7 linked regions of the Mus musculus genome follow. The protein of the gene in region 6 interacts with the protein of the main gene of each other region in a pairwise test. Links are inferred from orthologs where the notes say so. Each region holds a gene or a part of one and is shown on either strand. Other genes may lie near its edges.

Region 1 (4,128 bases), on a different chromosome or scaffold from region 6:
CCCCTGTCTTGAAAAACAGAAAACAGCCAAGCATGATAGCCCACGCCTCTAATCCCAGCACTTGGGAGGCAGAGGCAAGCAGATTTCTGAGATCAAGGCCAGCCTGGTCTACAAAGTGAGTTCCAGGACAGCCAGGGCTACACAGAGAAACCTTGTCTCGAAAAACCAAAGGGGGGAAAAAAAAAAAAGAAAGAAAAACAGAAAACAGAAAAAAGAAAACATTCTAATGATAGGTACTTGGGTGCATGGCAGTGCACACTTTTAATAGCAGCACCAGGAGGCAGAGGCAGGCAGAGATCTGAGTTTGAAGCCAGGCTGGTCTATTGTTCTGGGACAGCCAGGGCTACAAGGAGAAACCCTATTTCAACAAACAAACAAACAAACTTGTCATGGAATCTGAGTTGGGTTAGCCTGCCCTGAAATGGGAGCTAGCCTGGCGGTTTTATCCGTTTTATCACTGCTGAGAGAAAGCTTCCTGACTAATGTACACGACAACGATGCTCACCTGCCTGCCTCCAGCACTGGCTGTGAGATTACGAGAGACCCACATAGGTTACAGAGGGCTCCTCATTCTACTGAACCTTCTGACTGTGCTCTTGGTCCCTCCTTTCATCCTATTGGTTGTCTCTCACAGCTTCACACCACCTCCCCCTCCTCTTCCTCCTCCTCATGTGTGTGTGTGTTTGTCTCTCTCTCTCTCTGTGTGCTTGTGTATCTGTGTGTGTCTGTCTGTATCTGTCTGTCTGTCTGTGCATGTGTATGTTTGTCTCTCTGTGTGCCTGTCTGTGTGTATCTCTGTGTGTGTGTTTGTCTCTCTGTCTCTCTGTCTGTCTCTCTCTCTCGCTCTCTCTCTGCCACATGTGTACAGAAGCCAGACTGGGTCAGCTTCAGGTATCATTCCTCAGATACCATCCATCCACCTTGTTCTTTGAGACAGTCTCTCACTGGCTTGGAGCTTGCCAATCAGGCTAGGCTCTGTGGCCAGTGAGCCTCAAGGATCCATCTGTCTCCATCCACCCAGCACTGGGATGACAAGCGTGTGTTGTGCCTATGTTTACCGGCTCTGGAGATCAGCACTTTACTGACTGACAGGTCATCCCATCTCTTTCCTCTTCTTCCTATTTCCACAGTCCTGGCCCAAGCCCCTTGCTCACATACTCCACAAACCCCATCTCGAGAGAACTCAAAATAGCTTCAGGAAGTCCCTGAAACTGACCAGAATCACTGGACCCCTGCCCCCCTTCCAGAGTAGACAGTAAAAGCTCAGGGTCCCTCTCAGAGGAAAGACGCTGAGCTGCCTGAAAGAGGGCTACAGCAACCAAGCCACCTGGAAAGGATGCTCTCCATCTAACCTGTGAGCTGCCTGCAGGCTGTGCAGTCAACTCCAGTTTCCCAGCGTTGGAAGCTGGTACCCATGCTGGGGTGGGCCTTGGTGATACAGCTGGGTTTTTTGAGTCCTTTCTGCTCCTGTAAGTGACCCCTCACCCATATTCCTGTAGGTAAGTCCAGTTGGTTCACCAAGTTGGACTTTGGAGGTATCTGTACTTCGACCTGTTGTGGGCTCCCTCTCTGGGGTGAGTAGACTTGTGTTGCATCTCCCCAGGGAAGGTTTTGTCACACAGCTGGGTGATTCATGAAGCTCACAGAGGCTCAGTCAACAAGGCATACGAATGGGCACTGTAGTTGTCACCTGTCCACACCATGTCCCAACTGAACATGTCCTTAAGTTTACCAAGCTCCCTTCTTTCCTCCTCCTTTCTCCTTCCTTCCCTCCTCCCTTCCCTTCCTTCTTCCCTTCCCCCTCCACCCTCCTTTCTTTTCCTTCCCTTCCTCCCTCCTCTCCTCCCTCCTCCTTCCTTCCCTCCCTCCTCCCCTTCTTCCTCCCTCTCTTCCTCCTTCCCTCCCTTCTCCTTCTCTACCACTCTCTCCTTCCCTTATTCTCTTTCCCCTCCTTTTGTTCCCCTAAACCCAGACCCTTGTGTGAGCGAGTACCACACCATAGCTGCAGCCCATTCTGGCCTGCTTGAGGGTCTATAAACATGAGCTCAGGGCAGATCCTGTTAACTCAGTAAAGACTGCTGGATTCCCAGACGGTGTCTGGATCCTCTCCTCCAAAAACAAACAAACAAACAAACAAACAACGCTCTGTCTGCCTGATGCCATCCCTCCCCAGCCAATCCCAGCACCCCAGGGTGCAGGAAGGTGGGGCTTTGGGAGGTCCAGCCCTGGGTCCCATCACCAGTGCCTCCTGTAACTTAGGACATGCCTCTGGCCTCAACTTCTTCATCTTAAAATGGGTCTAATATTGGGCAGGAGGTCAGAGAAAGAACTAACGGATGGGAGGTGAATACTGGGCATACAGGACACTCAGTAAGTAATCCGAGTCTCCTGCCATGCAGGTCGTGGACGGTTTTCATTTTGGCTTCTCCCTCTAATCTCACGTGCAAATTCCCTTCCCCACTCCAGACTTCTAAGAACAGAGAGGCACTGTGCAGATAAGCAGTTGAGTGAGCCCACAGCCTCGGTGAGAGCAGGGGAGGAGCAGTGAGGAGGGGACCACGCTGTTTCTCCTCTTCACCTGTACCTGGGCCCCATTCATGCTGCCCCAGAGTGGACTCCGGCGACAGCCCTTACCAGAGAAGATCCTCCCGTCCCCGGTGAGCAGGGCAGCCCCCACAGGGAAGCGGCTGTAGGGGCAGTAGGCTGACTTCTTGGCCTCACGAGAGGACAGCAGCAGCCGCTGGACGTGCTCGGGCTCCACAGCACAGGAGGGGCGTTCCTGGGCCATGTCGGTCCGAGGCGGGTGAGCTGGTCGCTGCAGAGGAGAGGAAACCGGTGCTGGCCGTCTGCCCGCACTGGCCAAGAAGAGGTGGCTCCTCCCCCGGGGTGTGTCCCTGCGCTAGAGGGAGACCTGGAGGCTGGCTCCCAGGCTGGCGGGATGCTGGCCAGGACTTGGCAGCCCAGTGAGTCTCCCAGGGCGGGAGCCCGGAGGATATGGAGTTTACGACTGAGCTGCGGGGGTCCCACGGTGGACCGGTATGTGGTGCCCACCAGTGAGACAGTTTCCTTTAACAACTTCACTCACTGTCAACATAGATCAAGAGTGGGCCACAGGGCGGGTGCCACCTCAGTGGATGGCTGTAGACACAGTCCCAGGGAGGAGGATTCTGGGTGGGTCTGTGTGACACCTGAGGTCAAAGCTCAAAGGATCCTGATTCCTCAGAATATTTAATGGCTTGTTTTTTACACCGAGAGAAGGGTTCAGGCTGAAAGTTCAGAACTTGGGCAACCATGTCAGCGTGCCAAGTTAGAAGGTATGCGAAGCCGAGGAAACGTCTCTGTTTTCAGTAGCTTGGCTTCATTTCCTTCCTGTCCTAACCTAGCCATTAAAACCATCCCAGCTGGAGGGAAACAGGGCCCTCCTTCTTCTTCCCTCCCTTCCTCCCTCGCTTCCTTCCTTCCTTCCTCTTCATGAACCTTGTTGGGTTGGTGGTACCGGAAATGGATTTACACCCTGGCTGTTCTCTTTGTCTTACACACAAATGTTAGTGGGTTCCTTGTCAGACGTCGGCACGTTTGCTGTCTACAGTGGGGGTAGCAACAGACGTGTGGGAGCTTTGGATTAGAGTGGGCTGTGGCTTGGGTTCCAGGTATCTGTTTATTAGCTCTCCCAGGAAGAGCTGCGCTACCTCTCAGAGCCTCAGTTTCCTTATCTACAAAATGGGTGCACAATTGGCAGTCCCTTCCTGTGGTTACCAGACTGAGATGATAATATGGTCCAGGGAGTCTGTGGGGAGAGGATATAGAAGTGGCACATGGGAACACTTCAAACAAACCGGCTTATTGTCCTTAAGTGACTTGGCCAAGTCCATAGAGAGTGGGCCGGATTGCAGCCAGCACAGCCAGACATGTCCAAGTGTCGCCGGATGGTCACCAAGCAGGAGTGAATCAGCAGCTTCTCTGAGGGCTTGTGTGGTGCTGAGGACTGGGAGGAAGAAGGCAGGAGAGAGCAGAGAACGGGGCAGCATCTCCCCACTCCCACCCCCACCCCACCCCACAAGCAGACACCTCTGCCCAATAGTTTAGCAACCCTGTACCCAGGACCCTGGGCTCCTAGCCATACATAGA
Region 2 (4,298 bases), on a different chromosome or scaffold from region 6:
TTGTTTGTTTTGCTTTGTTTTGCTTGAGATAAGCTTTTGCTAAGTTGTGCTGACTAGCCTGTAATTCACTATATAGATCAGGCTTGTCTTGAAATCACAGAGCTCTTTAACCTGCCTGTTTTTTTGAGAGACATATTCTCTCTATGTCATCCTGGTGGCCTCTAAGTCTTGATGATCCTGCTTCAGCCTTCCCAGTGCTGTGAATTCATCAGGCAAGGCCCTTCTCATTTGACCAACACCCCAGTCCCTCCATTTCATTAAAAACAAAAGACAAAAAACAAAACAAAAAAAGCAAGCAAGCAAACAAACACATCATCTGGGCTGGCAAGCTGGTCCAGTGGCTATGAAGCACACACTGTCCTTGCAGAGGACCCAAGTTCCGTTCCTAGCACTCACATCAGATCACTCGCAACTGTTTGTAACTCCACCGCCATTGGAACTGACCACTTCATACACTGACATACGCGTGTACATGTAAATAAATAATAAGAGGCTGGAGAGATGGCTCAATGATGAAGAGCACTGTCTACTCTTCCAGAGGTCCTGAGTTTAATCCCCAGCAGTCACGTAGTGGCTCACAATCATCTATAATGGGATCTGATGCCTTTTTCTGGCCTGCAGGTATACATGCAGATAGAGCACTCATACATAAAATAAATACATCTTAATAAGCAAACAAATAAATAATGCCGGATGTGGTTATGCCTTTAATCCCAGAACTCGGGAGGCAGACTAAGAGGGAGTCTCTGCGAGGTCATGGCCAGCCTGATCTACACAGTGAGTTCCAGAAAAGTCAGAGTTACATAATGAGACCCTACATACAATAATAACAACAATAATAAAACCCTCCTCCCGCGTTTCCTACCATCAGGTATTCACTATAATTCTTGGCTCTCAGGTAATAACGGGCTTTCTCCCTTCATGTAGGTCCTTTTGATTATCACTTCTGCAGAGATTTCTCAGCCTTAATTTTTTCCCCCTGCTCTGTTCTTTCTTATCAGCACTTGCACTGTGTGTTCACTATCAATTTTCTCTTTATTGTCGCAATTCTCAACCCTACTAGTAAGCTCCCAAGTAAACTTCAACCCTAGGCTCTAGAATGTTCCTACCCGGCACATAGGATTCAGTACATTTGTTGCTTGACAGAATGAAGGGAAGGTGGAATGACACGGCCACTGAAGCTCTAGTTGTGACTTCATGCAGTGTGAGCGCCACCTGTCGGGAAAAACTAGATTTTCTCGGGAACGGAGGAAGTGAGTCACAGGCAGCCGTAGGGGAGAAACAGAAGATGGCCGCCAGACAGGGGGGGTAAAAAAATCCAAAACACCACACCCAGTGTCGGAAGTTAAACACTGGGCGAGTGCTCCCTAGAATGACATCCGACTCCCCAGAAGAAGCGGGGACCGGCGGTGTACCGCTAAAAGGGCTCCCCTGAATCGGAACTGTCCGAAAAGGTTCCGTGCGAGCAGCTGCGGGGAACCACGTGAGGCCGGGGAGCGTTTCCGGTGCGGGCAGTCGCAGCCGGCGGTAAAGCCTTGTCATCTGAAGGGGTAAGAGGGGTCAAGTTGAGAGTCAAGGAGACAAGTTGAGGGTTTAGGTGAATGGGGAGGGAGGTGGGCGTTCACTAAAGGGTGCACTCTCCGCGGGGTGTTAGGGAGATGGCAGGCAGGGAGATGGCAGGCTGTGGCCAGGTACAGACCTGTCAGCTTGATACGCCACGTGGGCTCGCCTTTGTCCGTGGCCGCAGTTCCTGTCCGGCTCGCGGCAGGGCTATGCCTTATTCTCTTTCCAGTCCGCTGTTGGGCACAGAGTTGGTACTCGGGTGGTGCTTGCTGAATGAATGAATGACACTCTCTGTGTGTGTGAATGTGAGTGAAGAGAGAAAGAAAGAGAGATCGGTATGCAGAGGCTTTCATAGAGGATGTTTCAGCCATTTCTGAATAATCTTTCCTTCAGACATTCTCCAGCTAGTCTGTGGCTTCTGTCTTTCTCTTTATGGGGGGCGCGATTGCCACTTAAGGCCTGCTCTTTGCTCCTATTGACTGCGAGACCCCGTGGTTTGGTATCAAAGATAGGTGGACTGGCTTACAGACCGGGCAGGCGAGAGGGACAGGAAGTCAGGAACAAAAATGATCATGCAAAGGTTCATGCATGCCCTAGCTCACATGTGAACCCCAGAAGGTAATTTTGTGGAGCGGGTTCGTGGGACCCAACACATGCTTGTAGTACAACTCAAGGTCTGCTAGGCCGTCTAGCTGGCTCAGGCCTCATTCTTAGGGTATAAAATTAGAGGTGAACCCAAGTTTAGAAAGACAGAGCCAGGAGCCGGTGTTGCTGTCCTCTTAGGTATCGTCTTTCAAGGTGGAGTCTCCTTTCATCTTGTGAGGCAGTGTACCCTGGAAATGGAACATTCTGGAATGGATGTTCTCCAGGTGTCTTCTTCCTGGATGATGCCCCATGTTAGGTATTGGGCTGTGGTTTTTCTCATAATCCACAGTTCATTGGTTAGTTACAATACTCATTGCCCTTTCCCCATAATATGTAATTTAATAAATGTTAATTGCTAGTCTTACATAATGGACTTTCAAGTTTTTATCTTTTTATTCTCTGACAATTTTCTACATGTATGTGATATATTTAGTCATTTCACCCTCTCCCCTTACACTCTCTCATCTAGCCTGAATTCTTCCAACAAGTTCTCTCCTACTTTCATGTCTTATATTTTTTCTCTCTGTGTGTGTGTTTGTGTGTGTTTGAATGAGTTTAATTGGAGTTGCTTGCTTGATGGATAGAGGAGTTATTTGCTGTGGCATGGACAGTTTACCCATGGCTACATCAGTGAAGAGTGCCCCCCCCCCCTTAATTGCCAATAATTGCCAATAGCTCCCAAGGCAGGGATAAGGCCTTGGGCCTTCTGAGTCCCTCCCCAATCTATGATAGAACATAGTCATTGTTTGTTTGCTTTCCCATTTTCTTCTTTTCTTTTTTCCTTTTCTTTCTTTCTTGCTTTTCTTTCTTTCTTCCTTCTTTTCTTTTTTTATGCTTTGCTTTGCTTTTTGAGTCAGGCTCTTATGTTGCCCAGGCTGGTCTGATTTTTTTTTTTTTTCCCTTTTGCCTTAGCCTTCCTAGGGATATAATTACTGGCATGTATCCTCAGGCTTGGCTTTTCTCATTGCATCCTGAGAAGTGTCCCAAATTGCACAGGGCTGGGAAATCTCATTCTTTGTAAAAACCAAAGATGGTTGTCGTGACATATTCTCTAAAACTTTTTTTTTTTTTTTCGTTTTTGGTTTTTCGAGACAGGGTTTCTCTGGAACTCATTTTGTAGACCAGGCTGGCCTCGAACTCAGAAATCTGCCTGCCTCTGCCTCCCGAGTGCTGGGATTAAAGGTGTGCACCACCACGCTCGGCTCTAAAACTCTTGCTGGCTTTAATGTCTGAGGTCAGACCGTCTTGTTCCAGATGTTGCTTTCCCTAGGAAAACCACACCAGTGCAACATCCCCTAATCTGTTTTACTGAAAAAGGTGCTGTCTTTTTGGTGTGTGTATGTCTTAGTTTACATCTCTTTCCTTAGCTCCATCCCAGTAGACGCTCAATAGGAGGTTACTAAATCAATGGAATAAACATTTCAGTTCCTGTTTTTGAGCCCTCCCCCACTTCAGGATATTAATTTGTGGGTGAATGAGCTGGGCAGGGATTGGGATTTTACTGGAGAGATTTGGGGTAGACATAGTAGATGAAAGCCAGCTTTATGGGGGTAATCCGCTTGAAAAGGATCATGATGAGCGAATCTCTTCAGCCCTGTTTCATTTCCCTGCTTGCTTATCCACAGGACCATGGCCAACAGTGAGCGCACCTTCATTGCCATCAAGCCTGATGGGGTCCAGCGGGGGCTGGTGGGCGAGATCATCAAGCGGTTCGAGCAGAAGGGGTTCCGCCTTGTTGGTCTGAAGTTTCTGCAGGTGAGTGGACCTCTGCCTGTGTTGAGTCTTTGGAGCATAGCGGAGCATTGCACAGTAACTTCTGTGCTTGTCTTGTCTCCTGTCTAGACGTCTCCATGGTAGGCTATCTTGGAGCCTGAAACCCTCTCAGTGACTAAGCTTGCTGGCTGAATCTTAGAACAAACCAAGTCATTTAGAGCTTTCAAAAATAGCAAGCTCTCTTTCCCCGCCCCAGCCTGAAGTCCCTCGTATTACTGCAGGGCTGTAATTTCTGACTCAGCTCTGGGTGTTTTAGAGCTCTTGGTCTTTAGCCTCCTAAGAAGATAATTTTAGAGACCATCCTTCTAACTCCCACA
Region 3 (3,500 bases), on a different chromosome or scaffold from region 6:
CCGTCTCCCTATGTGCAGGAAATAAAGAGGGATTTTTTTTTTTTTTTTTTTTTTTTGGTTTTTCGAGACAGGGTTTCTCTGTGTAGCCCCAGCTGTCCTGGAACTCACTTTGTAGACCAGGCTGGCCTCCAACTCAGAAATCTACCTGCCTCTGCCTCCCGAGGCTGGGATCAAAGGCATGCGCCACCACGCCCGGCTTGGAATTGATTTTTTTTTGTTTGTTTTTGTTTTGGTTTTGGTTTTGGTTTTTTGAGACGGTTTCTCTGGAACTCACTTTGTAGACCAGGCTGGCCTCGAACTCAGAAAACCGCCTGCCTCTGCCTCCCAAGTGCTGGGATTAAAGGCATGCGCCACCATGCCCGGCTTGGGATTGATTTTTTTAAGGAATGTTTTTTGTTGTTGTTGTTACTCTTTGGGCTGATGGAGGAATTAAGTATGACAAAACCATTTAGTTAACAGTGGAAGTACATGAAAGTGTGGTAACAGGAGTGTGTGTGTGAGCACACGTGGGCATGAGTGTGCTAACCCATGTAAAGGTGTGGTGAGCCCAGAGCTTGACATCATGTCTTCCTTAACTGCTTCTCCACCTCTCCACTTTACAGTGTGATTCAAGGTCTCTCACTGAACCCCGAGTTTGCTCGAGAGTCATGGGATCTGCATGTCTCTGCCCTAGGGCTCTGAGGTTTTGCTATTACGATCTTGTTTTTGATATACAATGTCACTGCATAGCTTAGAGCAGCTCTCGATCACTGCTTGCCTCTTGCCCCTCCCCCCAAGCTCATGCAGCATAAACAGAGGAGCCGTTTACAATGATCTTCATGTTCTTTTTCTATCCAGATGTAGTCTGAGGGCGGATGAGAGGAATGTGGTGATGTTGGAGGAGGTTGTAGCTATAAATCTCAGAGTTCATTCTCCTGAAATTTCATTGACTATTTCTATTTTAGCCATACATGGTGGCAAATGCCTGGGATGAGAGGGTTGGCTATAAGTTCAAAGACACCTTAGGCTACAACCTGAAAACCAGGCCAGCCACATAGCATATAGAGTGGTATGTAGGAGAGGAAAGAAGAGAAGAGAGAGAATGTTTTATCATAAAGGCACATGGACACTAGTGTTAATGAAACTTTTGTATTCTGTTCTTTAAGGCATCTATGTTGGTTTTAATATAGAATCAGGTTAACTCTAGAAATTTTGATATTCCATTGTTCACGCCTAGGGATACAGTCATCTGCCCATTTTATTTGAAGATTTACAATACATGTCATATTTTCCAGATACAAATCAAATAAAATAGATTATAATTTAAATTTTTTAATAAAATTATTTTATGCTTATGAGTGTTTTGCCTGCATGTATGTGTCAAATGTGTGAGCCTGGTGTCTGTGGAGGTCAGAAAATGGCTTGACTTCCTGGAAATGGTGGTATGATTGTTTACTGCAATGGGTGATGGGAATTGCACACAGGTCCTCTGAAAGAGCAACTAGGACCCTTTTTGTTTGGTTTCTCTGTGTAGCCCTGGCAATCCTGGAACTCACTCTGTAGACCAGGCTGGCCTGGAACTCAAGAGATCTACTGCCTCTGCCTCCCGAGGGATGGGATTAAAGCTGTGCACCACCACTGCGCAGTGAGCAGCCAGTACTCTTAACCACTGAGCCATCTCTCTTGTCTCAGATTGTTGTTTTTAAAAGATGTGTATTTAGTTAGTACCAGCATCCGTTTAAGCTCTTAGACTTGGGTTCTGTGTCTACCTTGTGGAATTGAAAGTACCGTCCTTTTCCTACCTCCTGAATTTTCAGCTTTCAGAGAAGGGGAAGCCGTATGTTGACATTCAAGGTTTAACTGCTGCTACCATGGAGATCCTGCTGGACTTCGTGTACACAGAAACAGTACATGTGACAGTGGAGAATGTTCAAGAACTGCTCCCTGCAGCCTGTCTTCTTCAGCTGAAAGGTACAGACAGTAAAAGGTGTCCTTGTTCATGACACTTTAGCCCTGGAAGTGTTTTCATTTGAAGCAAAATTAATCAAGAGACTGAGAGATCAGTCTAGAAGCATGACATTTGAATCTTTGAGCATGGAAGATAAGATAGAGTCAAGAGCAATGCAAAAGAATCTCACCACATAAGAGTATTTGGGTCTTGTAAAAGAAAACATTTAAACTTTTTCCGTTTTTGCAATAATCCCAACACTTAAGAAGCTGAGACAGGAGGATTGCGTTAAGTTTCAAGCCAATTTAGTACATAAAATGAGACTACATGTTAAAATGAAGCAAAGGGGCTGAAGAGCAGGCTCAGTAGTTGAGACCATGGACTGTTCTCCAGAAGCATCTGTATTTGACTCCCAGCACCCACTGGTGGCTCACAACTTTGTAACTCCACTGCAAGGGACCTAATGCCCTCTTCTGGGAACATGGCACACAGATGCACGTTTCCAAAGCACCCATAGCATAAACTAATTAAACTGAACCAAACAAAGCAGAATAGAAAATATAGGTATTTCCTTAATACATACATGTATACATACATAGTAAAAATTGCCAAGAAACTGATAATATTCGTTGTCTACATAGATTCTGTTTATTTACCTTGTCATTTGATGTTTGTGCATGTAGAGGCTAAGAGGACTTTTTAAAATAAACCTTTTTGTTTGAATCATGTAAAATACCTTTTTAAGAAAATTTATTTCTGTTTACTTTTATTATTTATTATTTTTATGTGTATATTATTCTCAAATGTATGACCTCTAATGGCCACAGAGATCAGAAGAGGGTGTTGGATTCCCCCCAAACTGGAGTTACAGGCAGTTGTGGGCTGCATTCTGGGAGTTGGGAACTGAACCTAACTCTTATTCAAGAGTAATAGTGCTTTTAACTGTTGAGCCATCTCTCCAGTCCCCTAGGGGTTGTTTATTTGTTTGTTTTGTTTTGTTTTGTTTTTGAGACAGGGTTTCTCTGTGTAGCCCTGACTGACCTGGAACTCACTTTGTAGATCAGGCTGTCCTCGAACTCAGAAATCTGCCTACCTCTGCCTCCCAAGTGCTGGGATTAAAGGCTTGGGCCACCATGCCTGGCTCCCCTAGTTTGTTTCTGTATTTGGTTTTTGAAACATGGTCTCACTATGTAACTGTGGCTATCTGGGAACTGCTGGTCAGGTTGTCTTCTAACTCAAGGATATCCATCTGCTTCTGCCTCTGAAATGTTAGAATTAGAGGTATACATCCTCATGGCTGCCTTAAAATATCTTTTGAAAATAAAATTTATACTAGGCAGTGGTGGTGCATGCTTTAATTCCAGCACTTAGGAGACAGAGTCAGGTAGATCTCTGTGAATTGGAGACCTGCCTGCTCTTCAGAACTGGTTCTAGGACAACCAGGACTTCACAAAAAAACCCTGTCTCCAAAACAAAACAACCAAGACAAATAAAAAATAATAAAATTAAAATTAACTTATACTTGAGAAGGAGAAATGGCATGGACTTAAAAAAAAGTAAATAAAATAAATTT
Region 4 (4,263 bases), on a different chromosome or scaffold from region 6:
AGCATAGTGTCAGAGGCCTGTGTGTAGGGACATTGAGTCCCCAAGACTGAGCCTGGTCAGAACCATTTGAGATTGGCGCTGTGCTAACAAAAGTTAAAAAATATGGGCTGGAGAGATAGGTCAGCCATTAAAAGCCCTATCTGCAGCTAGGGTCGTAGCGCACGCTTTTAGCCCTAGCCCTTGGGAGGCAGAGGCAGTCGGATCTCTGAGTTCGAGGCCAGCCTGGTTTACAGAGTGAATTCTAGGACAGCCAGAGAAACCCTTTCTCACAAAAACCAAACCAAACCAAACAAACCACTTGGTCCTCTGTGGGGTTCAGTGTCCTCAGCACCACCGAGTGGCTCCCCACTGTCTACAACTGCAGGTTCAGGGTATCTGAAGCTCTCGATTCTGGGCTCCACGGGCGTCAGACACATACTGACATCTATGAAGTCAAAACAGCCATACCTACTATAAGAAGGTTAAGTCACACAACTGTGGGCCTCCTTCCATCTCCAGGGTTCACCCTGCATTGGGAAGGCGAAGGGAGGGCGGGCGGGCGGGCGGGCGGGATGCTCCCTGTCTTCTCTCTTCTTTCCACGTAACGAGTGTTCACAGAGTTGGAAGTGTGTGGGCAGGCAGGGCAGGCGGGGCAGGCTTCTCGTCGCTCACACGCATCTTCCAGAGCCGACTTTAGCCCGGCTGGGATCTTGTCCTTGGTGGGGTAAAAAGGGTGAGCGGGTAACACGAAACGGACCCTCAGGTTATACAGTGACGCTAGCCCGAGCGGGCGCCATGAGCACCTTCCCTGCCGACCCCCAACTTTCCTCTCTGAAGGTGCTCCCATGGAAAGCAGATGGAAGGCTTGCTATGTCTCCCACATTGTTCACTAATTCATTGAGCACTAATAATCCTCCTGTCTCACCTTACTACACCCAGCCTTTAAGAGATTGCAGAGTATAAAGCCCATGGATTGGAAGGCCCAGGCTACCTTAGGAGGCTCCTGGCTGGTATGGGGGAGGGGAAGAGAGACACGCCTATCTCCAGGTGTACTCTTGTACTTGGATGGGCATCTTTCTCAAAGACTGTTCATAATGTCCCGACACAGTGGCTCTCTTTAGCGGAGTGTTCCCTCCACTAAATGATAAGCAGTGTTGTGTAGACACTGTGCTGGGCTGGGCATGTAATAATTCTGTTTTGGGTGGATTTCAGGCTTCTTCCCCTTCCTCCTTGGGTAGGGGTGGAGTGATCTCTCATTGCTTTACTTTGTGAGTTCCTCCCGGCCACCCTGGCGAGTCCTATCTGACCTGTCTTACTAAGCCAGGTCCAGGATTGCTGTGCTGAGCCATCCTCAAGGCAGAGGCAGCAAGCCTGGCTCTGGGCCCAGGGCCCAGCAGGGGCGTGTCCCTGCTCTCACCTGCCATTGGCCAGGTGGGACTGCCTTGCCAGAGGATTATAAGTGCGGATCGCGTGGCCTGAGAGCCAGGCGCCGGTCAGGATGGTGGACAGCGTGTACCGTACCCGCTCCCTGGGGGTGGCGGCCGAAGGGCTCCCGGACCAGTATGCAGATGGGGAGGCCGCACGTGTGTGGCAGCTGTACATCGGGGACACCCGCAGCCGTACCGCAGAGTACAAGGCGTGGTTGCTTGGGCTGTTGCGCCAGCACGGGTGCCACAGGGTGCTGGACGTAGCCTGTGGCACAGGGTGAGTCCAAACGGGCCGGCCTGCTTAGGCCAGTCTGGGCAGCCTCTGCGGGCTGGAGCCTGGCAGGCAGTACTAGGGGGTCAAGAGCCCTTGCTCATCAGGGTAGTATGGGCATGGGAGAGCATCTGCCGAAACAGTGCGGGAAGGGGCCAGGGTGTGCGCAGAGAAGGATTCATGGGACAGAGCAAAATCCGAGCTTTGGGTCAAGGTGGATCCTTGGCTCCGGCGCTGTTCCTCCTGCGATTGGCCTCTGGCAGTGTGAACAGAACATTTGTAGCACGTTTGCACAGCCAAGTGCTGTGCCAGGAGTTTGGGTACGTGTGTTGCAAGCTGTAACAAAACCCCACGAGGTGAGCAGCGCTTTTCTCCAACCAGTAGTACTAAAGAAAAAGTCATTTCCAAGAGGTAAAAGGCCCCCATTTGGTGGAGAGGATACAGACCAGGATAGTGTCTGGCCCACACTCCCGACTCAGCCCAGAACTCACGGACACCTCTGACTGAGATATTTCCAGGAGCACCAGTATGCCAGGTTCTCAAGTGCACTTTTGTAGAATGCCTGACTATGATTTAAAAACAAAAACAACAACAAAAAGCCATTGAGCCGGTGAGATGGTCCGACTACTAAGAGCCCCTTAGGCTCTGGCAGAAGACAGGCTCTCAGTGCCTAGCATCTGCATCAGGTGGCTCATAATCGCCTGGAATTCCGTTCCAGGGGGAGGTTAGCGCTCCCTTCTGGCCGTGGAGGGCACTGTACTCACATGTACTACACATACAGACATAATTAAAAATAAAAAAAAATGTGTTGATGTCAGGAGTAGTGGCACATATATTTAATCCCAGCACTCAGGGAGTCCTAAATAGGTGGCTCTCTGTGAGTTCCAGGCCCTGCAGGGCTACATTAGGAGACCCTGTTTCTAATAAGAGGCAGCTGGGGAGATGGCACATGTTCTTACAGAGGACCCAAATTTGGTGCCCAGCACCCTCTCTGGGGTCTGCAGACACAAGGTATGCACATGATGCACATATTCAGGCACGACACATGAAATTAAATTTTGAAAAAAAATTTTTTTGAAACAGAGTCTCTCTTTGTAGCCCCAGCTGTCTTGGAACTCACTGTTTAAACCAGGCTAAAAAAAAAACAAAAAACAAAAAAAAAAAAACTCTCAAAAAATTTTTTTGCTACTTGATAAGGAAAATTCTTTTTTTTTTTTTTTTAAGATTTATTTATTATTATATGTAAGTACACTGTAGCTGTCTTCAGACACCAGAAGAGGGAGTCAGATCTTGTTACGGATGGTTGTGAGCCACCATGTGGTTGCTGGGATTTGAACTCTGGACCTTCAGAAGAGCAGTCGGGTGCTCTTACCCACTGAGCCATCTCACCAGCCCCCAGGAAAATTCTTAATGGGTCACTTGAGACCAGTAGAGATGGCCTGGGACAGGAAGCAGAGGAACGGACTCTGGAATGTTATGTCTGGGGAAATGTCACACACATTTGGCCTCCCAGGCTCCTCTGACTGGTCCTCTAGTCCCCCGTTTCTGACCTCATCCAGAGTGGACTCCATCATGCTGGTGGAAGAGGGCTTCAGCGTGATGAGCGTGGACGCCAGCGACAAGATGCTGAAATATGCGCTTAAGGAGCGCTGGAACCGGAGGAAAGAGCCATCCTTTGACAATTGGGGTAAGTCTGTCTGTCCAGGCCCCCCCAGACATGCACCTCCAGGGTCACTCTCTGCCCTGGCTCTCTCTTGCTGTGGAGCTGAATGGTTTTTCCTCAGGGCACGGTACAGTCCCTGTCAACTTCCTAAAAAGGAAGGCTTTGGCATCAGAGTAGGATTCCGGCTGGTAAGAGCAAGTTTGTTGTATTTATGGTGCTAGGCATTGAACTTGGGCATGCCAAGTAGACCCTTGATCACTGGGCTGCATTACCAGCGGTTTTTATGCTTTTCCCGTGTTGCCTGGCTTGGCTAAGCTAGATTTAAGTGATGCTCCTGTCTAACAGAGTCTAGAGGTGTACGTCAAGTCACTGGGCCCTACAGAGCTACTTTTAACTGTCTTATCACATCCTGTCTCTCCTCCCTACAAAAGCCCCTAAGTGGAGGGCTGGCTTTGCCAACTGTGGCTCTCTCCATCCCTAATGAGTCCCCATGTGTCTCTGGGAGGAGGTGGTTGCTTCTGTGCTGTGCTATAATTCTCGACTCCCCCCCCAACCCCTGCCCTGGCCTCCAGTCATTGAAGAAGCCAACTGGTTGACGCTGGACAAAGATGTGCTTTCAGGAGATGGCTTTGATGCTGTCATCTGCCTTGGGAACAGTTTTGCTCACTTGCCAGACTGCAAAGGTAAGCTGGTGGCCTTGGCTGTGGCTCTTGCCTTGAGCTCCCCCACGTCCGAAGATGGCTGGCCTGCTGCCCTGATAAGGCAGACCTGCATTTTGCCTGTCTTCTTTAGTGCTGGCACTTGGGAGGGAGACAGGGGCGGGAGGTGGTGCTGGAGGCCTAAGCAGATGGTGTCTGTGGCCCTGCCGGGAACCCAGGTGACCAGAGCGAGCACCGGCTGGCACTAAAGAACATTGCAAGCAT
Region 5 (3,508 bases), on a different chromosome or scaffold from region 6:
TCCTCTTCAGCCGATTTCTTTTTGTCCCTGGGCCTTGGGGAGCTTTCCCTTATTTGATCTGTTTTATTGGAGGCACTATGCCCCTGCCTCAGATTGCACCCCTCGGCTCAGATCTGAGCACTTGACGTGACCGTTTCCCGCTTCTTAAAGTGAGGTCCCCAGTGCCACTTGTGAAGCGTGTCTCTTAAGGCCACTGTGCCCAAACTTCCCTGACTTCGCGGCTTTCCCGCCTACAGCCCCCACTCTCCTCTGCTCTCCTGACCTGCCTCTGTGCTCACCTGGCCTGAGCCGAAGCGCTGCGGGGACTTCCTGGTGGCCTCTCACCTGAAGTCACCCTACCCAAAATTTCCAGGTCACCGACACCGACCCAAAGGCTCGTCTCACTTCCAGGTCACCCAGACAGCCCCAAGGGACAGACCTAGCTCAGAGTTTCAGAGTCCGGTTCTCTTAACTCATTTCTAATTCTACTCTCAACCCATGGCCAATAACTGAAGAAGACCGAGTGTCACAGGGCAACTTTATTGAGTGGTAGCATGGTCACACCCAGCAAACGTGTTCCCTCTCATTCACTCTCTCTCTCTCTCTCACACACACACACACAGAGTTTCCCTCTCTCTCACACACACAGCCCTTGCCACAGTCCAGTTCTCAGCCACAGGGTGGGGAGCCTCCTGGATTATTCGGATCCAGAAGCAACAGGTGCCCGAGGGAGGCTCAGGGGGAGGAAGTGGGGAGGGGGTGCAGAGAGCAGGGGTGGGATGGGTTGGGAACACCCACCAGACAGCTACACGAAGAGTGAGATTCCCTGCCCTGGTGGCTTCAGCTTGGCTGCGCCCCCTTCAAAGGAGCCTTCCAAGGTGTGGCTGAACATTCAGGGTTTGGGAAGGGCAGAGTCCCACTCCGTTTTAGTCCTCTCTGCAGGCTGGGGACTGGAGGGCAAGGCGAGCCGGGGTGGTTGTCGGCTGCTTCAGCTCTGGGGCTCCTCCGGAGCCTCACCACCCTCTTCCCCAGCACTGTCGGCTGTCCACAGCGTCAGGTTGTCTCTCAGGAGCTGCATGATGAGGGTGCTGTCCTTGTAGGAGTCCTCACTGAGGGTGTGCAGGTCGGCCATGGCCTCGTCGAAGGTGGTCTTGGCCAGCGAGATGGCCTCCTCGGGGCTGTTGGCTATCTCGTAGTGGAAGACTGAAAAGTTCAGGGCCAGGCCCAGGCGGATGGGGTTGGTAGGCGGCATCTCCTTCTTGCTGATGTCCATGGCCTCCTGGTAGGCTGACCGGGCAGAATCGATGATGCGCTTCTTGTCATCGCCAGTGGCCACCTCGGCTAGGTAGCGGTAGTAGTCACCCTTCATCTTCAGGTAGAAGACGCGGCTCTCTGCATCTCCAGCCCCTTTGATGAGGTGCGAGTCCAGCAGGCCGAGTACGGTGTCGCACACACCTCTGAGCTCGGTCTCTACCTTCTCCCGGTACTCTTTCACCTCGGGGCCCTTCTCTTCTGACCCCTCCTCGTTGCTCTTCTGCTCGATGCTGGACAGGACCCTCCAGGCCGCTCTCTGGCCGCCCACCACGTTCTTGTAAGCTACGGAAAGCAGGTTTCGCTCCTCGCAGGAGAGCTCCTCGCCCTTTTCCACGGCGCTCTTCATGAAAGCTGCCATGTCTTCATACCGTTCGGCCTGTTCAGCCAACTTGGCCTTCTGGATCAGACTGGCTCTCTCCATGACTGCGAGGATGGACAGACAGACGGGCGAACTGGCTGTCTCGAGAGTAACGCTGGGTTCTGCGGCTCCCTTGCTCTGGCTCTGCCTTTTGGCTGGGGTGGCATGGCCCTGAGAAGAGTTGGGCGTGGTCTGAGCGGGCCTGGGCCCTGCCTCCTCCTAGTCTTCGCCACACCCTTTCCGGCTCTACCTTTAAGGTAAAAGGGCTGGGACGGGAGGGGGCTGTGAGTCACCAGGACAGTCAGCAGGAGAAACCTGGCCGCAGGTCCCACCTGCAAAGGCACCTTTCGGCTCCAGACTGCCCCCTGCAGTTCAGGGCTGGCTGCATTGCAGGAGCGTCTTGGATTACCAAATCAGATTGTCTTTCAGGGTGATCTTCCAGGCTTCAGCCACCGAGCTGCTTTAGCCCAGGCAGAGCCCAGGGAGCTGGGACAGTTCAGGTGAGAACTCATGTATAGGTAGGGCTGTACAGTTTCCCCCAAACTTGCGCATCCATGATCTGATGCAACTACCCCCAACCCCCGAATTGGCTCTGTAGGACTGTAGAGGTAGAACTATCAAGTCTCAGGGGTGAACCAAACCAGTTTGAGGTCACAAGCTGCCAGCTCCCTTAAACCCCTCCCCCTCCGTGTCCCCTCTTCCTCTTGGCTCTCTTTGGGGGCCATTAGCTGAGCCGGCCTGAAGATAGCTCCATCCCTTGGTCCTTGTTCTCCCTCAAGATGCCCTATGAACACCCCAGATGCGCAGGTGGCATCTCAGGGTGCCACTTAATGAAGTGTTTAACGAGCGGCCTCTGACGCTCCAGCCCAGCCTTTGTAATTAGTCACCCAATATGTTTGTTGGACACCTTCCCCCTTACAGCACAATTTTCCCTTTCAAGTTGGTGGCCTGTTGACACTTGTCTGAGACTTTACTCTCTGGTTCTCCACATCGGGTCACCCGTCCCTTCCAAGCTGCCTGTCGTCATGTATCGGCAGGGTTCCCAGAGGGTGGGGGCCTAACTCTTTGACTGTCCCACTCCCCTGCCTGACTCAGATTACCTCTGTCAGAGGCTGGGAAGCAGGCCACCTGGGTGCTCAGTCCAGTTTGGTCCCCCAGGGGGGACGCTATCAACCTGGGGAGGAAGACAGGGCTGAGGGAAAGGAGCTGGGAATGGCACATTCCATTTTGTTTTATGGCGCAGTGTGTGATTCCAGCCCAGTATGATCCCTCACTTGGCTCCCAGAGGTTCTCAAGTCCCTTCAAGACTCTGCCTCTGACCCCTGAGAGAAGTCTCCTTGGAGATGGAGATCACTTTGTTCCCAATCTTCCATCCCTGATTGGTTGGGCCCTATTTTCAAGGCCCATGATAAGAATGGGCACTGAGGGTGTGTTCCTGCTTATGTGCCCCACCACATTCTTCAAGTTTAGATGGGACTCCGTGGTTCCTTCTAAAGAAGTTTCTTCCTAGGACCCAGCCAGTCTAACCCTTGAAGCAGGACTATTGCACAACCTTGCCTGTCTCCTCACAGTGTCTGAGCACTCGCCTTGCCTCCGGGAGAGGTGTTGTAGGCCAGAACCCTGAACAGGCTGGAATGTGCTTGGGCCACGGAGTAGGGGCTCTTGAGAGACTTCAGGGTCCTGGCTAATTTTACAGGTTCTCCCAGGAAGCAGATGGGATTTCTGTCCTGAGATCTTGCGTGCTTTGCCTAACTCATGGCACAGGCACAGAACTACAGTAAAACATCAAGTTAGGGAAGACCACGGTAGTGTACGGCTAGAGTCTGAGCATTTAAACTCACACAGGGGACATGCCAG
Region 6 (4,284 bases):
TGCTTCCTGACTTCCTTTGGTGATGAACAGGAATGTGAAAGTGTAAGCTGAATAAACCCTTTCCTCCCCAACTTGCTTTTCCTTGCTTCTCGGTCATGATGTTTGTGCAGGAATAGAAACCCTGATTAAGACAGAAGGCCATTGCTGTCCACACACAACTGCAAGCAGGCTTCCCCAAGTTCTGGTGTCTGTCCAGAGCTGACTCCACTGGAGGGCAGGATGATCACACAACTAGCTCTGGTCCCTTCTAGAAACTGCAGGGATCCTCTTTCCCTTGCAATCTCTTTCCATCCTTCTACTGAGAAAGCTTAACTTCACACTCACTTTGTACTAACCAAGAGAGGCTTCATGACTGCCACTCCCTGCCTCCCAGCCTCTGTTGAAGGGAGTATTCAAGCTGAAACAATAAATTGGTAACAGACACAAACACATGTTTAGTTTGTAGGATTTATGGGTTTTGGACAGCAGCTGAAGTTCACCAGAATACCACCAGCACAGCACTTTATGGGGTTGGGGTCTCAGAAGGCTGAGAGTCTGTGGGTGGCCTATAATCTAATCTTAAGAAGTCCAGCGTTTGCAGGGAGGTTCTCTGAGCACTTAAGGCACACACAGGAGACTGGGATGTCTATAGAGACAGTTCTCTATGTCTTTAATTCACTATGCATAAACACTGTTTTAGCAATTTGGTGTCTTCTCTTTTGAAAATAAATATGATTAACACAAAATGCTATCCAGACTCTTTAAATCTTTTTTTTTTTAAAAGAAAAATTCTTTTGTAGTCTAGGATCACCTTGCATTAGAAGCAATCCTCCTGCTTCAGTCTCCTGCATGCAAGGACTTTAGGTGTCTGTCACCACACCTGGTTAAAACTTTTTTTCTTTAAAATACACACACACACACGGAGAGGGAGAGAGATCCAGATGAGAAGAAATTAAATTACAATATGGTGAGATCTGGGTGCACTGCACTAACACCCCCCCCCCCCCCCCCCGTTCGCCTTTCTTTCTCAGTTCCTGCTCTAAAGGTTCAGCTTTCGTGCGTGCCCAAGCATCTCTTAGTTTAGAGTTTCTTCTGGTTTCACACAGCGGGCAACCTTAGCTGGAGTTTTAAGTGTATCCGGAAGCTCATATCTAAACACTGGCAACAACACAAGCAATCCCTCCATGGGAGGGCGACTAGGTCTACGCAGCGTAGCTCAAGAACAGGTTCGGTTTGGGGTCCGGGTGGTGGGGGGGGCGGGGCGAGAGGGAAGCCTCTAAGTGCATCCCGCTCTGCCACAGGCTCCACCCACCACGCAAAACCTGGCAAGAACTACACAGTTCAAGTCATCCTAAGATTCGCATTCCCAGCCCCCTCTCCACCAGCCTCGCCCCACCCCCACCCCCCTCAGATCCCACTCATTCTCTCAGGCCCCGCCCACCCGGAACCACGCAGGCTTCGTCATCCCGGGCTCCGCCCTCACGCTGCACGGGGCCCCGCCCACCCGGCTCTCGGCTCTCCCACCCGGAAACTGTCCTGGCCGCCTACTCTGTTGTCCTCTCCTCCTGGGAGACTGGCGACAATTGCGGCCAGCGGGTTGTTTAGTTGACCTGTGAGCCACAGCTTCGGGTCATGGAGGGGGACGGCCCCGCCGCCACGGCCCCGCAGTACCAGCCGGTCTGTCCTACGCGGGACGCATGTGTCTACAACAGCTGCTATTGGTGAGAGAGCGCGGGCGCGGACCCCGGGAATCTGCGCGGTTTCGCGCGCCGCCACCAATGCGCCCCTCTCCTGGATGCTCCCCTGAGTGCTGCTGCTGGCCTACACTGCCCGGGTTTAGCGCCGGGATGAGGAGGGTGGGGAACGCATTTCTGGTCTCCTTAGCTGAGCCTGAGCAGTGGGGTGAAGTCGGGGCGTCTTAGTGCATAGGGACAAGGGAGGGAGGGGAGTTAGGCTGGAGACCCAATGGTAACTGTTGAAGTCTGCATTGATTCAGGTTGAAGTATACGTCTTTATAATTTTAAAGACAATGGAGACACAGAATTTGTGGTAGTAGGAAATCCAGTTCAGGCAACTGGCTACCCTGATTACCTTACTGGCATTACCTTACTGGCCATATGATAATGGTTGCATTTGCACCATCCTTGCCATATGCTAGGCATTGTTTTGCGTGCATGGTGTAAATTAACTCAGTTGAACCTCACAGTAATCCCAAGAGGTAGGTACTGGTGTGATTGCAGCTTGGAAGAACTCTGAGGTACTGAAGGGTGTGCTGCTGTTTTACACAAGGCCCCGGGATTGTGAGGTTAGTGTCCTAGGCTGCTTGTGCAAACACCGTTCACCTTGCCTTTTTTGTCCCTAGGCCTCATCTTCCTTTTGTGTAGGGACTGCTATCCCAACTCAGGAGAAACCTCAGGATCATTTAAATAGACTCCTCTCAACTCTAGCTGGTCACTCAAACAAGGACTCTAAGAACTTAGCATTCAGCTGTGACTGACCAGTGACCACTTTAGCTCAAGTCCAAGTGCTTGCCCTGGTTCTCAATCTTCCAGGGCTGTGACCCTTTAATACAGATCTTCTTGTTGTGGTGACCCACAGCTGTAAAAACTTCGTTGCTATTTCACAACTAATTTTGCTACTGTTAAGAATCGTAGTGTAAATATCTGATATTCAACGCCATGACCCACAGATTGAGAACAGGGGGTGGTAGAGCGATGTCTTGGAGACAGGTTCTGTGGTAATTATTGACACTACAAAGGCTGAACTATAGAATGGTTGTGGTTTGTCCCAGACCACACAACTAAGTGGAATGAGATCTGGAGTCTACATGGTGGTTGGGAGTCCTTCTTTTTTAGCTGTTGCATTATAGATCTGCTCCGCCTGGTTTCCAAATCCTGCTAGTTTTTATCTGGAACATTTACTCTGTGTCTTCCATTTATTTAGTAAATATTTCGTAGGGATGTGAAATGTATGTTGGTTGATTCTATGCACAGAGGATAGAGCAGTAAACAAGGTAGATAAATTTCCTGGCAGTGCCAAGGACTGGCCTCAGCTGGGACCGGGTTTCTGAAAGAAGGGGTGTTTGGGAGCAGTGAAAACTACTTGAAGTCAAATTGTTGGTCCATGCTGGTGGTCTATGTTCCGCTGATGTGGCTTTCTAGACTGCTCTCTCTGTGTCTGCTTGAGACAGCTTTTTCTTGCTATTCTGAAAACTTTTTGGTTGAAACAGCTAGCTTTCTGCTCAAGACAGCTCTCTCTGCTATTAAAAGTTCTAAAAGCTCTTTGGATAGCTCATGGGTTTGCTGACCAAGTCAGAAATCCTGTTAGAAATACTCAAAAAGTAATTCTTGGGTTTTCTGATCAAAATCAGAAAGCCAGAAAAAAAATTCTAAAAGAGCTGTGTTCACTCTTCTGCCAGCTTTTTCTGTTTAGCTGCTAGGAGACATGCTAACAGAGCTGTGTCAGTAAATCTTATTAGAGAAAATTCTAAAAGAGCTAAGAAAAGATCTGAAAGAGCTGTGGTCGCCCTCCTTACATTGTCCCACCATGTTCCAAATCCTGTTAGAAAAAAATTCTTAGCCGGGCTTGGTGGCGCACGCCTTTGATCCCTGCACTTGGGAGGCAGAGGCAGGCGGATTTCTGAGTTCAAGGCCAGCCTGGTCTACAGAGTTCCAGGACAGCCAGGGCTACTGAGAGAAACCCTGGGAGGGTGTGGGGGAGGGCGGGAAGAAAGAAAGAAAAAAGAAAATTCTTGAAGAGCTGTTCTCAACCTCCAGGTTCCCCTTTGATTATCCTATGAATCCTGTGACCCCAGGCCCTTAATTCTTAGGAGACTACAAGCAGATTTTCTCCCCCTTTTTTTAGCATTGTAAAAGAATTCAGAGATCTGGCTGCTTTTGTAAATTTAGCTAGTTGGGACCTTGTCCGGAGATTACCATTCTGACCACTCCTGGACCTAAATTTGATCTGTTCCAGGCTTGAACTCAGAAATCTGTGTCATATAGAGTAGCTGCCTCTTGTCTATTTAGATCTGTGAAACTCCTTATACAATTCATATTGCATCCTTATGTTTTTGCATAGTTGAGAAATTATATATTTTCAAACTCATGTATTTAGAGCTCTTTCCCACAGCCTTAAGGGCTGTCCTGAGGGTCACAGTATTTACCATTTTGCTGAGACATTAGCCACACCTTCGTTTTCTGGACTCATGCTGTCTCAGATTCTCATGGAGTCATTGATGTTAACTGGGAGGAGGGCATTCCTCTGAGGAGTGTGAAAAAATGTCCATAATTATACAAGCAAGCA
Region 7 (2,191 bases), on a different chromosome or scaffold from region 6:
ATCTTAGCACAAGGCACCACTCAATTTCTCCCTAAATACATGTATGGCCAGGTCACGGGCTCAAAGGTTTGCAACCTAAAATACACTATACAATATCCACTGGTCAGGTACAGGCACCTCTACCTTTATGAAAGTTTAATTTAAGCATGAATTTTTATCACTCAAGCCAAGCTACAGTATGGGTCCACAGAGTATACTGCAGGTCAGTAGTGTCACAATGCTTGAATTTTAGTAGTAAGCACATAGTGCCACACCCACCCATCTCCTTCGCTTGACTCTGGGCTCTGTGATGAAGGTCTATCAACAAGAACAGCCCCTGGAGTAAGACCCATGATGCTGGTACTAAACAAGAGGATGTGGAAAGCAGCCTCCAGCAGTGAGGGCTAATGTGGGGCCTGGCCAACCAAGCACCAGGTCTGGATACCTTCTGTATTCAAGTTGGATTTCTGTGGCTGAAGCCTAGCCAGACAGTGGCAGATAAGCTAGACAGGAGGTTAGAGACCCACTGGATATGGCTGGGAAGCATATCTCACTGGCCAGGACTAGCTGAGGGGCCCATGTTCACATACAACATCAGAAGAGGGAAGGAGCTTTTAGCTTGAAAGTTCTAAAAATAACCTGTAAGTAAGTGCACATGAACTCAGTGCACCCTCAACAACCATCCCAGCTGGACTGAGTAACTCCATGCCATCCATCCATCAACTCAGAAGGATGCTGTACAATTTCTAGTATCTTGGCAGAGGCAGTTGCTTTCTGTAAGAATGCTTTCCAGAATAGGGTGAGGACAGGAGATGCAGGTCCCCAAACAGGACCACTGATCTGTGCAATAACAGGGCCATGCCACCATCACCCAGCTAGAGACTAGGAGAGAACTGTCCCCTAACTCTGTCCCCCAGCAACAATGAAGAGGACTGCCTGCTTAGAACCAAAAATCCACATGCATCCCCGAAATATGTAGGAAGGGGCGGCGCAGATGTCCAAGGAAGGGGTATGTGGATGGTCTTTCATTGGAATCTTGTGGGGATGGTGACCCTGGGGAGCCCTGGGTGGACAAGTCCAAGGGTCAGTGGTGTGAAGCCAAGGGCCACAGGCGGGTCTAGGACTCTTCACCCATTTGCAGCAAGGAATTGATGGCAGCATCTTTGTTCCCTCTCTGGGCTTCAAGCACAGAACGGATTACTTCCCTGTCCATGTTGGGAAACATGTCCTGGATAGCTTTGAGGTCCTCTTCATTACAGCGGGGCTGAGGAGCCACAGCTGGTGGGGGCATGGCCATCGGCACCATGCCAGGGCTGCAGACAGCAGGCATCCCTGAAAACAAAAGTTGAGGTTGGTTAAAAAGAGTGGGTTCAGCCAGGTGTTGTGGTGCCTGACTTTAATCCCAGTACTTGTAAGGCAACAGGAGAGTCTCTAAATTCAAGGCCAGCCTGGTCTACAGAGTGAGTTCCAGGACAGAGACAGTGGGATCACAAAGCTGCAGTGCCAAAGGAAGAAATAATACATCTCACTGGCCTCAAGGGAAAAGGCTACCTTAATCTGACTGGAAAACAGATCCCACAGGGATGCCCATGACAGATGGGATGGGCCATCCTCCTCACTACTGAGGCTCCCTCTCCTGAGGTATTTTCTTTCTGAACAAAAATTCAAGTTGAATATATCTAGTCAAAAATTACAGGGAGCAAGATGAAAATTTGGTAACCACATGTGCTACTTCAAGAACTTAGGAGACTCATCACGGACATGAGTCTTTACTGAGAATGCAGACAACAAACTAGTATGCTTGTTTTACCCAATACTCCAAAGTCCACTTGTGTCAAGATTCTAGAATTCACCTTCACAGCCTAACAAAGGCATTACAATAGTCATGCATATGGCAAGGTATAGCTACATAAAGTACTCCCTGAAAACTTCAAGAAAAGCTGCATATTAGCCTTTCACAATGAAGACAATACATATCAGAAAGTACATCACTTTCCAGCAGCCTGAGGTACCAAGGCCCCCAGTGGGGCACGGGAGCTAATCCTTTTGCCATGAGAGCAAAAAAGGCTGCTGGCAAAGGGCTTAGCACTGATGCTACATGGCTCCCTGCACCTTGTGATAGATGAAGAGGTACAAATTGAGAAACAGAGGCAGGTTTCCTAAGTACCCTCTGGGCCAGGCCATCACCTTCATGTCTCTGTCCTGACTGACC

What was found.
Region 1: the proteins of Wdyhv1 (region 6) and Cda interact in binary tests that used the Homo sapiens proteins (3 or more experiments, as listed by UniProt). The two-hybrid records come from large-scale screens. The link is inferred for Mus musculus from reciprocal best matches to the Homo sapiens genes NTAQ1 and CDA.
Region 2: the proteins of Wdyhv1 (region 6) and Nme1 interact in binary tests that used the Homo sapiens proteins (3 or more experiments, as listed by UniProt). The two-hybrid records come from large-scale screens. The link is inferred for Mus musculus from reciprocal best matches to the Homo sapiens genes NTAQ1 and NME1.
Region 3: the proteins of Wdyhv1 (region 6) and Klhl12 interact in binary tests that used the Homo sapiens proteins (3 or more experiments, as listed by UniProt). The two-hybrid records come from large-scale screens. The link is inferred for Mus musculus from reciprocal best matches to the Homo sapiens genes NTAQ1 and KLHL12.
Region 4: the proteins of Wdyhv1 (region 6) and Gnmt interact in binary tests that used the Homo sapiens proteins (3 or more experiments, as listed by UniProt). The two-hybrid records come from large-scale screens. The link is inferred for Mus musculus from reciprocal best matches to the Homo sapiens genes NTAQ1 and GNMT.
Region 5: the proteins of Wdyhv1 (region 6) and Sfn interact in binary tests that used the Homo sapiens proteins (3 or more experiments, as listed by UniProt). The two-hybrid records come from large-scale screens. The link is inferred for Mus musculus from reciprocal best matches to the Homo sapiens genes NTAQ1 and SFN.
Region 7: the proteins of Wdyhv1 (region 6) and Tollip interact in binary tests that used the Homo sapiens proteins (3 or more experiments, as listed by UniProt). The two-hybrid records come from large-scale screens. The link is inferred for Mus musculus from reciprocal best matches to the Homo sapiens genes NTAQ1 and TOLLIP.

Annotation. Positions count from the first base shown.
Region 1 is NC_000070.6:138,365,156-138,369,283, forward strand, and holds the start of Cda (cytidine deaminase), read right to left. Parts: upstream 2,801-4,128; 5' UTR 2,789-2,800; coding exon 2,635-2,788; intron 1-2,634. UniProt on the Homo sapiens protein: This enzyme scavenges exogenous and endogenous cytidine and 2'-deoxycytidine for UMP synthesis.
Region 2 is NC_000077.6:93,965,473-93,969,770, reverse strand, and holds the start of Nme1 (nucleoside diphosphate kinase A), read left to right. Parts: upstream 1-1,498; 5' UTR 1,499-1,550; intron 1,551-1,745; exon of another isoform or gene 1,746-1,810; intron 1,811-3,833; 5' UTR 3,834-3,837; coding exon 3,838-3,963; intron 3,964-4,298. UniProt on the Homo sapiens protein: Major role in the synthesis of nucleoside triphosphates other than ATP. The ATP gamma phosphate is transferred to the NDP beta phosphate via a ping-pong mechanism, using a phosphorylated active-site intermediate.
Region 3 is NC_000067.6:134,462,031-134,465,530, forward strand, and holds part of Klhl12 (kelch-like protein 12), read left to right. Parts: intron 1-1,796; coding exon 1,797-1,950; intron 1,951-3,500. UniProt on the Homo sapiens protein: Substrate-specific adapter of a BCR (BTB-CUL3-RBX1) E3 ubiquitin ligase complex that acts as a negative regulator of Wnt signaling pathway and ER-Golgi transport.
Region 4 is NC_000083.6:46,726,366-46,730,628, reverse strand, and holds the start of Gnmt (glycine N-methyltransferase), read left to right. Parts: upstream 1-1,463; 5' UTR 1,464-1,477; coding exon 1,478-1,683; intron 1,684-3,236; coding exon 3,237-3,364; intron 3,365-3,912; coding exon 3,913-4,023; intron 4,024-4,217; coding exon 4,218-4,263. UniProt on the Homo sapiens protein: Catalyzes the methylation of glycine by using S-adenosylmethionine (AdoMet) to form N-methylglycine (sarcosine) with the concomitant production of S-adenosylhomocysteine (AdoHcy), a reaction regulated by the binding of 5-methyltetrahydrofolate.
Region 5 is NC_000070.6:133,600,056-133,603,563, forward strand, and holds Sfn (14-3-3 protein sigma), read right to left. Parts: upstream 2,114-3,508; 5' UTR 1,715-2,113; coding exon 968-1,714; 3' UTR 501-967; downstream 1-500. UniProt on the Homo sapiens protein: Adapter protein implicated in the regulation of a large spectrum of both general and specialized signaling pathways. Binds to a large number of partners, usually by recognition of a phosphoserine or phosphothreonine motif.
Region 6 is NC_000081.6:58,139,882-58,144,165, forward strand, and holds the start of Wdyhv1 (protein N-terminal glutamine amidohydrolase), read left to right. Parts: upstream 1-1,484; 5' UTR 1,485-1,611; coding exon 1,612-1,700; intron 1,701-3,326; exon of another isoform or gene 3,327-3,388; intron 3,389-4,284. UniProt on the Homo sapiens protein: Mediates the side-chain deamidation of N-terminal glutamine residues to glutamate, an important step in N-end rule pathway of protein degradation.
Region 7 is NC_000073.6:141,883,271-141,885,461, forward strand, and holds part of Tollip (toll-interacting protein), read right to left. Parts: intron 1,312-2,191; coding exon 1,097-1,311; 3' UTR 1-1,096. UniProt on the Homo sapiens protein: Component of the signaling pathway of IL-1 and Toll-like receptors. Inhibits cell activation by microbial products. Recruits IRAK1 to the IL-1 receptor complex. Inhibits IRAK1 phosphorylation and kinase activity.